3 linked regions of the Rattus norvegicus genome follow. Each later gene encodes a partner of the first gene's protein in a complex. Links are inferred from orthologs where the notes say so. Each region holds a gene or a part of one and is shown in the gene's direction. Other genes may lie near its edges. The genes, in order: Cdhr2, Ush1c and Cdhr5.

What was found.
Region 2: Cdhr2 (region 1) and Ush1c share a complex: the UniProt entries of both Homo sapiens proteins name them as parts of the IMAC/intermicrovillar adhesion complex. The link is inferred for Rattus norvegicus from reciprocal best matches to the Homo sapiens genes CDHR2 and USH1C.
Region 3: Cdhr2 (region 1) and Cdhr5 share a complex: the UniProt entries of both Homo sapiens proteins name them as parts of the IMAC/intermicrovillar adhesion complex. The link is inferred for Rattus norvegicus from reciprocal best matches to the Homo sapiens genes CDHR2 and CDHR5.

Annotation. Positions count from the first base shown.
Region 1 is NC_086035.1:9,914,811-9,918,978, reverse strand, and holds the start of Cdhr2 (cadherin-related family member 2 precursor), read left to right. Parts: upstream 1-1,280; 5' UTR 1,281-1,376; intron 1,377-4,168. UniProt on the Homo sapiens protein: Intermicrovillar adhesion molecule that forms, via its extracellular domain, calcium-dependent heterophilic complexes with CDHR5 on adjacent microvilli. Thereby, controls the packing of microvilli at the apical membrane of epithelial cells.
Region 2 is NC_086019.1:105,877,274-105,881,669, reverse strand, and holds the start of Ush1c (harmonin), read left to right. Parts: upstream 1-1,587; 5' UTR 1,588-1,705; coding exon 1,706-1,741; intron 1,742-4,396. UniProt on the Homo sapiens protein: Anchoring/scaffolding protein that is a part of the functional network formed by USH1C, USH1G, CDH23 and MYO7A that mediates mechanotransduction in cochlear hair cells. Required for normal development and maintenance of cochlear hair cell bundles.
Region 3 is NC_086019.1:205,808,159-205,812,522, reverse strand, and holds the start of Cdhr5 (cadherin-related family member 5 precursor), read left to right. Parts: upstream 1-1,430; 5' UTR 1,431-1,469; coding exon 1,470-1,563; intron 1,564-1,643; coding exon 1,644-1,819; intron 1,820-2,174; coding exon 2,175-2,225; intron 2,226-4,348; coding exon 4,349-4,364. Other genes in the region: Sct (secretin precursor), read left to right, coding at 1-4. UniProt on the Homo sapiens protein: Intermicrovillar adhesion molecule that forms, via its extracellular domain, calcium-dependent heterophilic complexes with CDHR2 on adjacent microvilli. Thereby, controls the packing of microvilli at the apical membrane of epithelial cells.

The DNA of each region.
Region 1 (4,168 bases):
GCTGAGAAGACTGGGCTGCTGGTGTTGATTCGTGTTTGGTGTTTGCTTGTGGATTGAACTAAGGAGATTAGAAGATTCCCAAAGAACTGTCTCTAAACAGGTCCACTTCCCTAGTATCCTAATAACCTTTCTTTTCTACTACCCCTGGAGGGTGGCGGGCTCGAGGGGAGGTTGAACCCTTATTAAAGCAGGTTGAGAAAAATTTATGCCTACACTAGGTGCTCAATAAATACGGATTCTAGCCCCTCCCCCAGCGACTTGAGGCCAGTCTTCGCCAGGACCTTGAAGAACCATGAGTTCTTTTGGTGGATTTGGTGCTCCCTGAGAACTTGTGTCAGCACACCAAAACCTCAAAGGGATGCCTCAGTATCAAGAGGGAGCAGCAGCTTCCTCAGGCCACTCAGGTAGGAAGAGGCACACGGCTGTGCTATGCGGTTGGATGAAATGAACTTGGGAATTGTTCCCCCATGGGAGGCAACCACTGGGAGTGTGTGACCCTGCCCTTATGAGTGTGAGGAGACCCTGGGGCAGTGTGTGAACCTGCCCTTTGATTTTGATTTTGATTTTGTTGGTTTTTATTTTTGGTTTGTTTCTCTGCATAACTCTGGTTGCCCTGGAACTCGCTGGCCTCAAACTCTGAGATCTATGGGCATCTGCTTCCCAAATCCCGGGATCGAAGGCGCCACTTCCCCAGCTCACCTTTGTTTCTGAGAGATAACATCTCGCTGTGTCTGGTCTAAAACTTGTTCTATAGACCAGCTGGTCCTGGAACTCATAGGGATCCACTTGCCTCAGTCTTCTGAGGGCTGGGATTAAGGGCATGTGCCACTATGCCCTGCATTGACCCTGACCTTTGATGTCCTGCTTGGAGGGGACAGATATGGGGCTGAAAAGGCTTCAGGGTGCCCTTTCACACCAGCCTCAGGCCTTGGCTTGAAGGCTCAGTGCTTGATAACTGTCAAGTCTCCTCACCCCAACAGATCTCCCCACCCCACTTTCTCCACAGGTCCCCTCTCCAGAAGATGAACCAGGAGAGGAGAGATGGCCCTGACATGTCCCCTGACTGTCACCATCTCCAGTTTGCAGCAGAACCCTGGGCTGGACATCTGCCCCTTCTCTGGCAGTGGGACTGCCTACTCCTCTAGTACCTCAGCCCTAGGGCCTTGCCCGCCCTAGCTGCAGCCAGTGCCTTCTGAGGAGGTGTGGTCTCTGTATGGTTAATGATTGCTCCGGGGAGGTGGAGATGGTGCCAAAGTCTGCAGCTGTGTTCTGCCGGGCCCAGACAGTGCTCACCTGTGACTGGGTGCACATCACCACCTCTGGGCCCCTTCCAGGGGTTGTCCAGCTCAGCTGCTTCGGGGGCTCTTAGCCCAGGGGTAAGCCGGGGTCCTTGGGATTGAGGCAAACTTTGAGGTCTTTCCGACTTGGCATCTGGAGCGTGGCGGGGACACCAGGGGGAAGAGCTAGCTGTGTCATTAGCCACTGGGATGGGCAGAGCCAGGCTTGAGTTGGTGAGGCCACCAGTGAAGCCTGTTTCTTCTGGAATGCAGGGCTAAGACCTCCTTCCTCTCCAGGCAGTGACCACCTCCTGCTGTCCCTGGGGTATTTCTAGCCTGAGGAGAAGGGTTCCCCTAGGAAACTAATCGACAACCTCATCTGTTATCTGAAAGGGGAAGATGAGGAAGATGGCTGAATCTGGCCATGGGCCCGAGGGGGAAAGGCTGGCTCCACTCCGCCTGGCTCAGATCTTCATTCAGCTCCTTGCAGACTCTGAGTGAGCTGCTGACTGCTTTTGGTCCTTGGTCTCTGCATCGGTGGGGTGGCATGATACTAGTAACCTGGGGAGGGCTTGTGAAGTAGACATGGCAGGGGTTGGAGGCTGTCCCTCACAGACTCAGAGATCAAATGCTAGGTCACCTCAGGGAGGACTAACTATGCTGGTCCCAACCCTAACTTAATCCTCATCCTGGTCACAGGGTAAAGACTCAGCTGGGCCAGCTCGTCTTTAGACAGGACTTACTTGCTGGTTGCTCCCAGGCAGCATTTCAGAGCATAATGCCGATCTCCTGATCGGCACAGGACGTAGCCTGCCCTCACCTTACTCCTCAGAGGAAAACTGTAGCTGAGGGTAGGGCAGGCTTGTATGTGAAATGCTGAAATCCAAACCTGGGGCCTGATCCATATCTGTCCCCTCAGAAGAAGCAGCCAAGAGGGCGGGCACCATCTCTGGCTATAAGAAGCCTAGTATACCTGGGGCATGGACACTTAAAGGTCCCTGGGTCCCTATCTTTGCAGCTGCATCACTTGGCTGGGCTGGTGGGATCAGAAGAGACCCCTGTAGGGTCAGCAGAGTGGTACCTGGGTCCAGCCTTGCCCGCTGCTGGTGTTTAACCCTTTGTGGTTGGCCGTCCGAAAAGGTTGATGAACAGTAACGGTAGGATAGCTGCTCCCAGAGATCAGCTGTGCGAAGGAGTAAAAGAAAGCAGAAGTGAAAGGAAGGGCTCAGGGAACTTCTGAGGCTGCGGCAGGGCGGGGTGGCTGTGGGGTGAGGAAGCCTGTAGCTGGGTCATTAGTGGAGGAGGGCTCCCTTCCTCTGTGGCCTTCCAAGAGGTCTGGGATCCTCACATCCAGTGGACTGAACTGTAGAGCCTTTGGTTTCCTGGAGTCTTGTGAGCTGCGGCCAGCGTGTCCTCTGAGATAAGAGGGAGGAGCCCCCTTGCTGTGGATGGCCTGGGTCTGGGAGCCTGGGGGTCCATCGAGTGATCTGGAGCCCCTGGTGTTCCCGACTTTTCCTCAGACACGTTATAGCATGAGTAGCTGAGTATTTTTGCTTTTAGGGGACACTAAATAATTGAACACACTGATGGAACACACCAGAACATCTCCTCATTCCATGGCTTGCCCGGCACAGCTAGCCTGCTTCAGTAGAGAGCCTCCTGCCCAGCCTCAAATAAGGCGGCAGGAGCTTGGGAGCAAGCACCTTGGATTTCTAGGGTCTAGATCTGTTCTTTCTTCCTCTCCTCTTCTTCATCTTCCCCATCTTCTTCTTCCTCCCTCCCTGCTTCTCTCTCCTTTTACAGGTCTCTCCATACAGCTGAGGCTAGTCTAGAACTAGAGAGCCTCCTCTCTCCTGAGTAATAGGATACTGGTGGCACTCCAGGCCCAGCTTCCGATCTCTTAAAGATACAAACTATATCAGGCGCAAAGTGGACGGGGGCTGGCATCAGTGGTGTCTCACGTGAGCCTACGTTTGACTTTTGGTCCCTCCGAGGAGGAAAGGGCACCTGGGGGAAGTTTCCCCAGCTCCAGTACCTGGGCACATCCCCTCTCTTCTCCTGTATGTCCTGTAGCATATGACCCCTGACTGGAGCTCAGAGACTCTAGCTGTGACCTGAGCCTTGAAGGACAGAGAGAATTTGCACAAGGGCAAGGGACACAAGAGGGCCTTTGGCGCAGAAGAGACACATGCAAATCAAGGGGAAAGATGATGCAGTGTGTGTGTGTGTGTGTGTGTGTGTGTGTGTGTGTGTGTGTGGGTGCGGACTGTGGACAGGATACGGCAAGAGGGAAAGGGAACCACTCTTGGAAGGTGAGACCCAGGTCCCCTAAGGATTTGGCTTGCCAAAGGTGGGAAGTGTGTCCAACAGCTGGTCTGAGCCTTTGCACAGGTCAGGTCTTGGGAGTGCCTGTGCCATCGAGGTGAGGCAGGTCACCAGGTGCTTCCAATCTCACAACACATTTTTCTTAAGTGATGGAGTCTGGGAGATGCTGCTGTCAAGTGCAGAACTTTGGCCTTATTATTGTTAGTGAGTATGCTTGTGAAAAGTCACTGTGACAAAGGGGACAAGGCTGAGAAACTTAGGGTCAACTCATCCAGTATAGGAAGGAGAATCCAAAGGAGTTCTAGGAGTGAGTCAGACATGACTCTGTGACTGCTGGACAGGAAACCTAGCTTCCTGGAGACTTGAGAATCCCCATAGGCAAAACAGAGTATCTAAGCCATCTCTCCAGGAGTGACTCAACAGGGATGGCGCGTGAGCTTTCAGGTGTGGGGCACTATCACCTGAGTTACACCATGAGGACAGGAGGGAAAGTAGGAGGAAACAGAGAAGGGGGCTTGAGTGGAGCCTGCAAGGGGCCATGGGGAACAAAGGTCCCAGTTTGGTTT
Region 2 (4,396 bases), on another chromosome or scaffold:
CAGGCAACAGGCACACAGACACTGTACACGAATATATGCGAGCCAAAGTTCACACACAAAAATAAAAATGAAAACAAACTTCAAAAGGGAAGGAAAGAGAGAATCAAAGATGTAAATGGAAAGAGAACCGTATCTCATGAGGTCTTTTCTGGACCACTAAATGCCCCATACACCTTTCTGTCTGGTTTCTGACTTACTCAGTTAATAATAAAGAATCCTAGTTACCATTAACTGTCGACTTGACACGACCTGGAGTCGGCTGAGAGGAAACCTAGGCCTGTGGGGATTATCTCGAGTACTAATTTATTCAGAAGGCAGTGAAGGACAGAGGCTGGGCTATAGCCGGCTCCCAACTTATGGAAAGCCCATGGCAGACGCACCATCCCTCGACAGGTGGCCCCAGCTTCACAACCGAGCTAGCCAAGCTTGAGTCTGGGAGCAAGAGAGCCAGAGACTGAGCCAGCAAGAAGCATTCTGCTATAGTCTCTGCTTCCCCTTCCTGCCTTTGCTTCTGTCAGCAGTGGAGTGGGACCGGAAGCATGAGATGGGGTAAAGCTGTCTTCCCCAAGTCGCTTTCGAGCACAGCATTATCCACAGCACCAGAGTGAAGCCAGATCAGAAGGTGAGAATCTAGATCATGCTTTCAAGTTATTCCCCCAGGCATATATCCTAGTCTTCATCTGGGCCATAATCCAGCCAACTGTGAAAATTGGCTGCTTGCTGGCAAATGGCAGAGGGATCTAGAAAAGAGACACTTCTCGTGTCCCTGAAGTTACCACTGTGCCTACCTGATTGGGACCACTGTTGATCTCCTTGCCCATCCCGTGAGGTGGTAATAACACGCCAAGCACCTATTGGGTTAAATTCAGGCACCAGGTCCACGGCCCCCACCGCACCTCTGAGAATGTGCGTGCTGGATTAATTTCTGTTGAGAAGGAACGTGAGTCAGTGGATGGGGGCATTCCCCAACTGGCAAGCCCCCACAGGACACAGTAGGACCCAGCCCCCTTACCCTCAGGAGTTTTTGCACTGAGAAGGCAAGTGGGAGAAGCCTGGATGAAACCTGGGAGAAGTCGAGACGGGTGGAGGTGGGGGCTGGGGTGGGAGTGTGATGATGGAGGGGTGTGATGGAGGGGTGGGTCCAAAAAGGGGGATGGTTTCTGCATGACAGTCCATCTACATCAAGAATCTCTGACCCCCTACCCCAGTGCCACAGCAAAAAGTTCCAAACCTCGGTGGGCCAGGTATGTAATCCCAACACTTGGGAGGTAGAGGTGTAGAATCAGGAGTTCAGAGCCATCCTCCTCTGTGAAATATTCACTTCAAGTCCTGCCTGGGCCACATGAGATGCTCTTCCAGAAAGGAAGAGGAGTCGCAAACTACCCCTCACCCCTGCTGCCCTGCGTCTCCTCGATCTTTTGCCTTAGTGTGTAGGGGGACCACGCTGGAAAAAGCTGCCAGCCTAACTAAGGCACCATTGCCACACAACAAGCTTCTTTTCATCCTGGGGAACTTCAGGACAGGTGACCCCGCCTCCAGGCTGTCTTTTCTCCTCCCAGCCCCGCCTCTGCTCCGCCCAGGCCCCACCTCTAACTCTGAAGGAGGCAAGTCCTGTCTTGGTGGCTGACCTGCCGCCGCCTGAGCACCGCAGCCAGGCACCCTAAGAAGCAGACCGAGCTGCAAAGCAACTGGATCAGGCTCAGTCATGGACCGGAAGGTGGCCCGAGAATTCCGACACAAGGTCAGAGCTGAGAGGTACCCCGCGCTATGAGAACTGTGGAGTCCTTGGTCCGGGTGGGTGGGAGATGGACAAGAGCCCTCTCCCTTGTCTGAAGGTCTTGGTCAGACTGAGACTTCTGAAAGTGTCCCTGCAAAACGAGACGGGAACACTAGAAAGTCCAGGTCTAAGGTTTACTGAACTGACCCTCTCCAGAAAATGCCATTTCTCCTTGGCCCTTCAGGGGCTGGGAACTGGACGGAAAGCCCAACAGTGCTGAGGGGCAGTTTTGAACCAGTACAGATTATCTTCATGTGGAAGGACCAAGGAAGGGCCAGGATGTGAAACGCCTGGCTTTGGTCTGACAGACCACTCAGGTAGAATCTTACTTCCTTGTGTCCCAGTGAGGGATCACATTGGATCTTCAAAGTCCTCTAAAATCTTGACTGGCATCAGAAATTTCCTAATGCTTTTTCCAGATTACAGGGTCTGTGGAGGCCACAGAAGGCCACTGAAGGACAAGGGACCCAGTGGTGGCCTCCAGGGGTAAAGCCAGTGTCAACAGTTCCTCACAGGCCCTGCCCAAGGAAGAGAGCTGTATGTACACCCTGACACTAGAGACCAAGCAGAACCCCTTCCCAGTCTGAGGGGACAGAGTGCCTAAAACACAGTCTAGCTGTCCCCTCTCCTCCCTTCCACATAGAGCCTCAGAGATACACAGAAGTCAGTCACTGTGGAGGCACAGAGGTTACAGGCCAAGAACTTCCACCCAACACGAGGGATCAGCCCGTCATTCCCTTAAATCATATTCTGAGTGCTTACCTACTTTGTGTCAGACCCAATCTGTACCCTCACATAATCTACCCGTGTGCACAGGAGACAGGCCTTGGGCTCAGAGCACAGGGATCAGGGCTTAGTAGGGGCCGCAGGGGTGGAAGCTTCCTAAACACAAGGCCAGGATGTTCCTGTTCCCACTCCCAGCATTGAGAAGTGGCAGAAAGTCCAGCAGGAACGGGCAGCTGCTGAATGTCAAGGGGATCATTTGTGGGCCCAGGGCAGTGTGAGGGGGGACAGCTCAGCTGCAGTTAACATTCGCTGAGTGTCAATTTCAGCCAACCCACTTTAAAGGCTCCTGTCTCCTGTTGGAGCTTAAATTTCTCTTTCCTGGCCTTGGGCTGGGAGTCATGTAAAGTCGGTTCCTCTTTCAATTTCTTGCAGTGGAGTTATCTACACTTTACCTCTTGGGAGAGAATCACCCCCAGGCTCCCTGATGTCTGACTTGACTCTACATTCACCCCAATTCTTCCTCTCCCAGTTCCAGAGGACCTCAGGGCCTCTGCATTTCCGTGTTCAGGCGGGCTCCTCCTCAGAGTCATTACCTATTAATGTTCCCGTGTCACAGGCAGGGCAGGCATCCTAGTAAGCAAGGCCTGGGCTGGACTTTGTGCCCTGCAGTCTCAGACATGGCAACAGCCTTCCTCTCTCATGCGGGGGATCACGAAGGAGCTGAGAGGAAAGATGAGGGTGAGAGGCAGGCAGGCTGAGTAAAATTTACAACCTTATTGCTTGTTCTAAAGACCCCTTCCTGAGTGTTTCGGGGGAAATTCACTCCTAAGCGGAAGTTCACAATCTGAATCTTGAGTTGTTAGAGGTAGTGTTTAAGGTAATGTGTTGTCATGGCTGATACTGGGTGACCTGTCTGTGACTCAGGTCTCAAATTTGTGAATTGGGCATACCGTTTAACTAATAACATTTTAATAAGGTTTGTGTGTTCGTGTGCGCATGTGTGCGTGTGTGCATGTGTGTGTGTGTCTTATGTAAATTGTGCTCTTGGAGAATCCCCACACTGAGGGTCAGTTCTCACCCTTGCCACTCACTGACCTTGAGCAGGCCACCGGATCTCTGAGCTTTTGTTTCCTTCCTTGTGAGGGGGCTGTGCGGTGCCTGTGTGAGACAGGATTAGGTAGGAATTCAAGTGTGGGGGTGCTCCGATGCCCAGCCCAAGTCTGCGTGTGTTACTGTAAAGGTGCGCTCCAGTTCTTGGTAGGTTCTGGTCCAAAAGCAGTCAGTGGCACTTCCAGCACAAACTTCCCTCTTCAGTTGGAGGGAACAGCCTTGAGTTGGAAAGGACCAGGCCAGGATGATCAGGGACTAAGGCGCTGGCGCTGAGCTCTCCCTGGCGCTGAGTGGAGCATCAGCCTTTCAAAGCACCCTCTTTGCTCCCAGCAGAAACCTGGTTATTCATTTGCTCAGAAACCATTTATTGTCTCTGCAGCAATCACACATTTATGAGCAGCTCTGGTGTACCCTGCCCCAGGCCAGTCAAGCAGGGAGGGGTGGGGCGAAGGAGAGCAGAAGAGCCCCTCCCTTCTAGGATTTGCTATCCATTCATTCATTCATTCATTCATTCATTCATTCACTAATGCATGTGTGTAATAAACACTCTCCGGCTTCCTAATCTATGTCAGGCACAGCTTTGGCACCGAGGAGCAGACCAAAGCCTTGCCGATCATCAGGACCATACCCTGGTGGGGAAGACAGTTACCAAGGAAACTAACAGTATCTTATAATGGAGTACTGTGCTGAATGCTGGGAGAAAAGTACCCGGAGTGGGGGGGGGGCGGGGGATAGAGACCAACAGGTGTTATGTTAGGTAGCCAGGAAGACCTCTCTAAAGAG
Region 3 (4,364 bases), on another chromosome or scaffold:
ATGAGGGAGGAAGGGGAGTCTCCAGGAGCCTGACTGGAGTAGGGATTGGTTGTCCTTGGCATCAATAAAGAAGGAATTTAGACCCTGGTCTTTTAGCTCATGGTGTGTGATATCTGATAAAATCAAGGCAGTCTCTGCTCCGTGAACCTGGCAGGCTTGGACGGATCCATCCATCTCATTCAGTGACTAGGACCACACCCAGTTGTTGCCCTTTGAACCTGGAAAGCCAGCTAGGGCATTTTTTATCTCTGACATCAGCTGAACCCCTCTTTTCCTAGCTGAATTCCCTAGAGTCCAACCCTGCCCTGTGGTTCATTTAGCAAAATCTCCAGGGATCAAGGATCCCCACCCTGGCCTAGCCATGTGGTCAGGGTAAATGAAGTGGTGAGGAGGAGGCTCAGGCAGGAGTGGGAGGACCTGAGTTCATCCTATGTGGTCATGGCCCAGCCATGAGGCCTGGCCGGTGATGTCATCTCTCAGTGGGCGGCTGTGGTGAGACAGTGCCCAGTTCTGACAGAGAGAGGCCTGGAGCTTTGGGAAGGTTTTCAGACATCTAAAGCAAAAGACCCAGAGTAATGAGGGAGGGCTATGTAGGCCCTTTCAACAGAACACCCCCTACCATTCTCCTGGCCCCACTTAGGGGCTTCCTCTCATCTCTGAGAGCTTGTAGGGCAGAGGAGAGGAAGCAAGAGAGGAGGAAGCAGGTCTAATGGAGGGCTGGGTTGTGTCCTCTGGGATTCTTGTCTTCCATCAGATACTGGCTCCCCAAACCCCAGCTCCTCCAGTGGTTGAAAGGTTCTATTTGCATCTTACCACCCACCAAGGCTCTGCCAGGCCCTACCCTGGGGGCACTGCTGTGTTTCTCAGACAGCAGGAGCAGCTGACTGGGACACAGCCTTGTCCTTTGGGAGTGGAAGAGGGAAGGCAGGTAACATAACAGAGCTCCAGTGATTTTCTAAAATAAACATTGAAGAGAAAGAGAGGAGATGAGGGTCACAGTGGACCCAAGACCAATGGCTCAGCCCGCATCCCTGTTCTTGCTCCCAGTTCCCCAGCCCTGCCCCAGCTCCCCAGACCTATGGCTCCATCCCCGAGTCCTGCTTCAGCCCCCAACCCTGACTCAGCCTCCTTAGGTCTATGGCTCCAGAGCCTTGCCCTGGCTTCCCACGCCTATTCTCCACTCCTGGTTCTCAAGATTTTTTACACCTTATGTGTGGTGCCTGTAAGTTGAGTCCTCAGCTAACTTCCTGGAAGTCCAAGCTGCAATATGACCTCATGTCCCCTGTTAGTGCCGGCCGGCCAGCGGGATCCCCCTTGGTAGAGGCCATCTGTAAAGGATCATAAAATGAGGCGGTGCCTGGCAGGGGCGAAGGTCGCCAAGGCAGGAATTGTACCAGCCCTGGAGCAGGAATTGTACCAGCCCTGGAACCAAGCCGGCCGGACCCTTCTTCCAGGTGACAGCTGCCACCATGGGGGCTCCGGCCCTCCTGTGGCCTCCCCTGCTGTTGCCATTGCTCACGGTGCTGTTTGGCCACCTTCCAGGGACCTTGGCCCAGGCTCAGGGTAGGTACTGAACATGGGCAGGATGGGTGGGTGGCAGAGCTGGGCTGGGAGGAACCAACTTCTCCTTTGCAACTTTCTAGTCTGCTCTGCGAACCAGACCGTGTTTACAATGAACGAGAACACCACTGTTTCTGGGCCACTGGCGGACATTTTTGTCCCAGAAGACCAGTATGTGACCTTGGGACAGTTGTCCACCCCTAATGCCTTTAAGGTTGAGGGCAATAAGCTGTTTCTCATCGTGACTCCAGATTATGAGGTACAGACTGTAGACCGAATAGAATATGCCTTCATGGGGACACAAATGGGCATCCACTCCCCTAACCTGGGAAAGATTCAGGGAAAGAGGGACTGAAGGGATCTATATGCTCCTGGCAGTGAGGAGCCCTTTCAGGCCCAGTGGTTGGTTAGATGGTTGGTTGGTTGGTTGGTTGGTACTGAGGGGTAGGGCCATAAGGGGACAAAGTTGCCAAATGTCCCCTATACCCAGGATTTCCCACAGATGACTGGGGCGCTGGAGCGCTCCCTGCTCTCCTAGCTGTACTCTCCTATCCTATAGGAGGATAGTTCCCTATGTGGCAAGTGACTCATAGGGCCCCTGGCTTTATCCTCAGGAAAACTCTTTGCTGGAGGCAGTCCTGGAGTGTAAGAGAGGAGATACTTTGGTAAGTTAACCCCATTACCTGACCACCTGGGCCTTTTGTCAGAGTACCCCAAGACCACTCCTCCAAGACCTTACCCCCAGGGAGTCTGAACATCAACTCTCTCCTAGCCACTTCCATGATTCTTTTAGCCTAGATTCTGCCCTGAGCTCCAGACTCAAACTCAGCTAACGTAGAGCCCAGTATTAAGTCAGTACCTTGAGACCCTAAGTAGGCCCCTCACCCCTCACCTGGGAGACACCTTCACCTGCCAGCCACTTCTGATGTCACCCCATCCAAGGAACACTGTTGGCACGGTTGACTGTACCTCAGTTAGAGTCGGATTTACTCTTCCTACCTCTAGTCCGTCCCATGGGGCCCTGGCCAGTGGCTCTCCTTTCTGACCCTTCTTGCACATCCACTTGCTGTTCTTGTCCTTGGCCCTCCTCTATTCCCTCTCTACACAGGGAATCCCGAAAGCTCATAGCCACAACCCCATGCAGCCTCACAGAAACTTCCACATTTTCTTACTGGAAGTCAAAGTCAAATGCACAAGTGGGTGGGCAAGGCTGTGGTATGCAGACACTGACCTGGTGTGCAAATTCATTTTGATGCCTAACCCTCCTACTTTATACTGTCCCCTACCCTATCCCATACATCTTATCCTCCATCAATAGCCTTTTACTAAAGGACACTAGAAGAAGTAACAGGCCCCACACACTTCCTGCTTCACTGTGAGCAACTCTCACACCCTGCACTCCTGCCGGGCACCACGACATGTTACCCACACACATCTTGGCCTATGTCTCTAATAGATCATAATAATTAAAAACAAAACGAAATTCTTTTTTGGGTAAAGTTTAGTGTTAGACTTCTGTCTTAATCAGGGTTTCTATTCCTGCACCAATATTATGACCAAGAAGCAAGTTGGTGAGGAAAGGGTTATTCAGCTTACACTTCCACATTGCTGTTCATCACCAAAGGAAGTCAGGACAGGAACTCAAGTAGGTCAGGAAGAAGGAGCTGATGCAGAGGCCATGGAGGGATATTAGTTACTGGCTTTCTTTTTTTTCTTAAGATTTATTTATTTATTATGTATGAGTACACTGTAGCTGTCTTCAGACACACCAGAAGAGAGAGGGCATCAGATCCCATTACAGATGGTTGTGAGCCACCATGTGGTTGCTGGGAATTGAACTCAGGATCTCTGGAAGAGCAGTCAGCGCTCTTAACCACTGAGCCATCCCTCCAGCCCCATTGGGTTGCTTTCTTATAGAACCCAGGACCACTATCCCAGGGACAACACCATCCACAATGGGCTGGGCCCTCCCCTCTTGATCACTAGTTGAGAAAATGCCTTACAGCTGGATCTCATGGAGGCGTTTCCTCAACTGAGGCTCCTTTCTCTGTGATAACTCCAGCTTGTGTGAGGTTGACACACAAAACCAGCCAGGACAAATACCTGCCTAGTATGATTGAAGCCCTGTGCTCCACCTTCAACACACAAATATACTTCCCACACAGACACACAGACACACAAGAGACAGAGAGAGACAGAGACAGAAACAGAAAGACACAGACAGAGAGAGACAGAGAGACAGAGAAAGAGACAGAGACACAGAGAGACAGAGAGGCACAGAGAGAGCCCTGGCCTTGACATCTGTCACAGCTGAGAAGAGCAGCTTTCCGTCTCTGTCCTCCAGCACCTGGCTGTGTTCATGTCTCCCTGGGTCTCAGGAAGGGCTGTCATGGGAATGAGCTGTTTGCTTTCGACCTGAAGGCCCTTTTCCCACTATCCTTTTGGAGACCTGTTTTTGAAGTCGTGAGATGCTGTTTTTCTCCCTTTGATATTTTGCTGGTTGTGCCCCCAGGATTGTCATTCTCTCTCTTCAGCGCACCCACCACATGCACGTGGCCACACTCTAAAACTTGTCTTTACAGTTTGAGTGCATTCCTCCTAGAACAGGAGCTCCTAGGCCATCACATTGTTGATGCCACCAGTGTCTGTGGAATGAAAGACAAAGAATGACTGACTAACTGAATGGATGAATGAATGAATGAACAGATAAGAAGAGGAAGGAATGAATGATGGGGGGCATCAGAGCATTCTCCTCAGCCAGGGGCTGACCCTGGTGACTTTGCTGCAGGTGACACAGTTCAGGG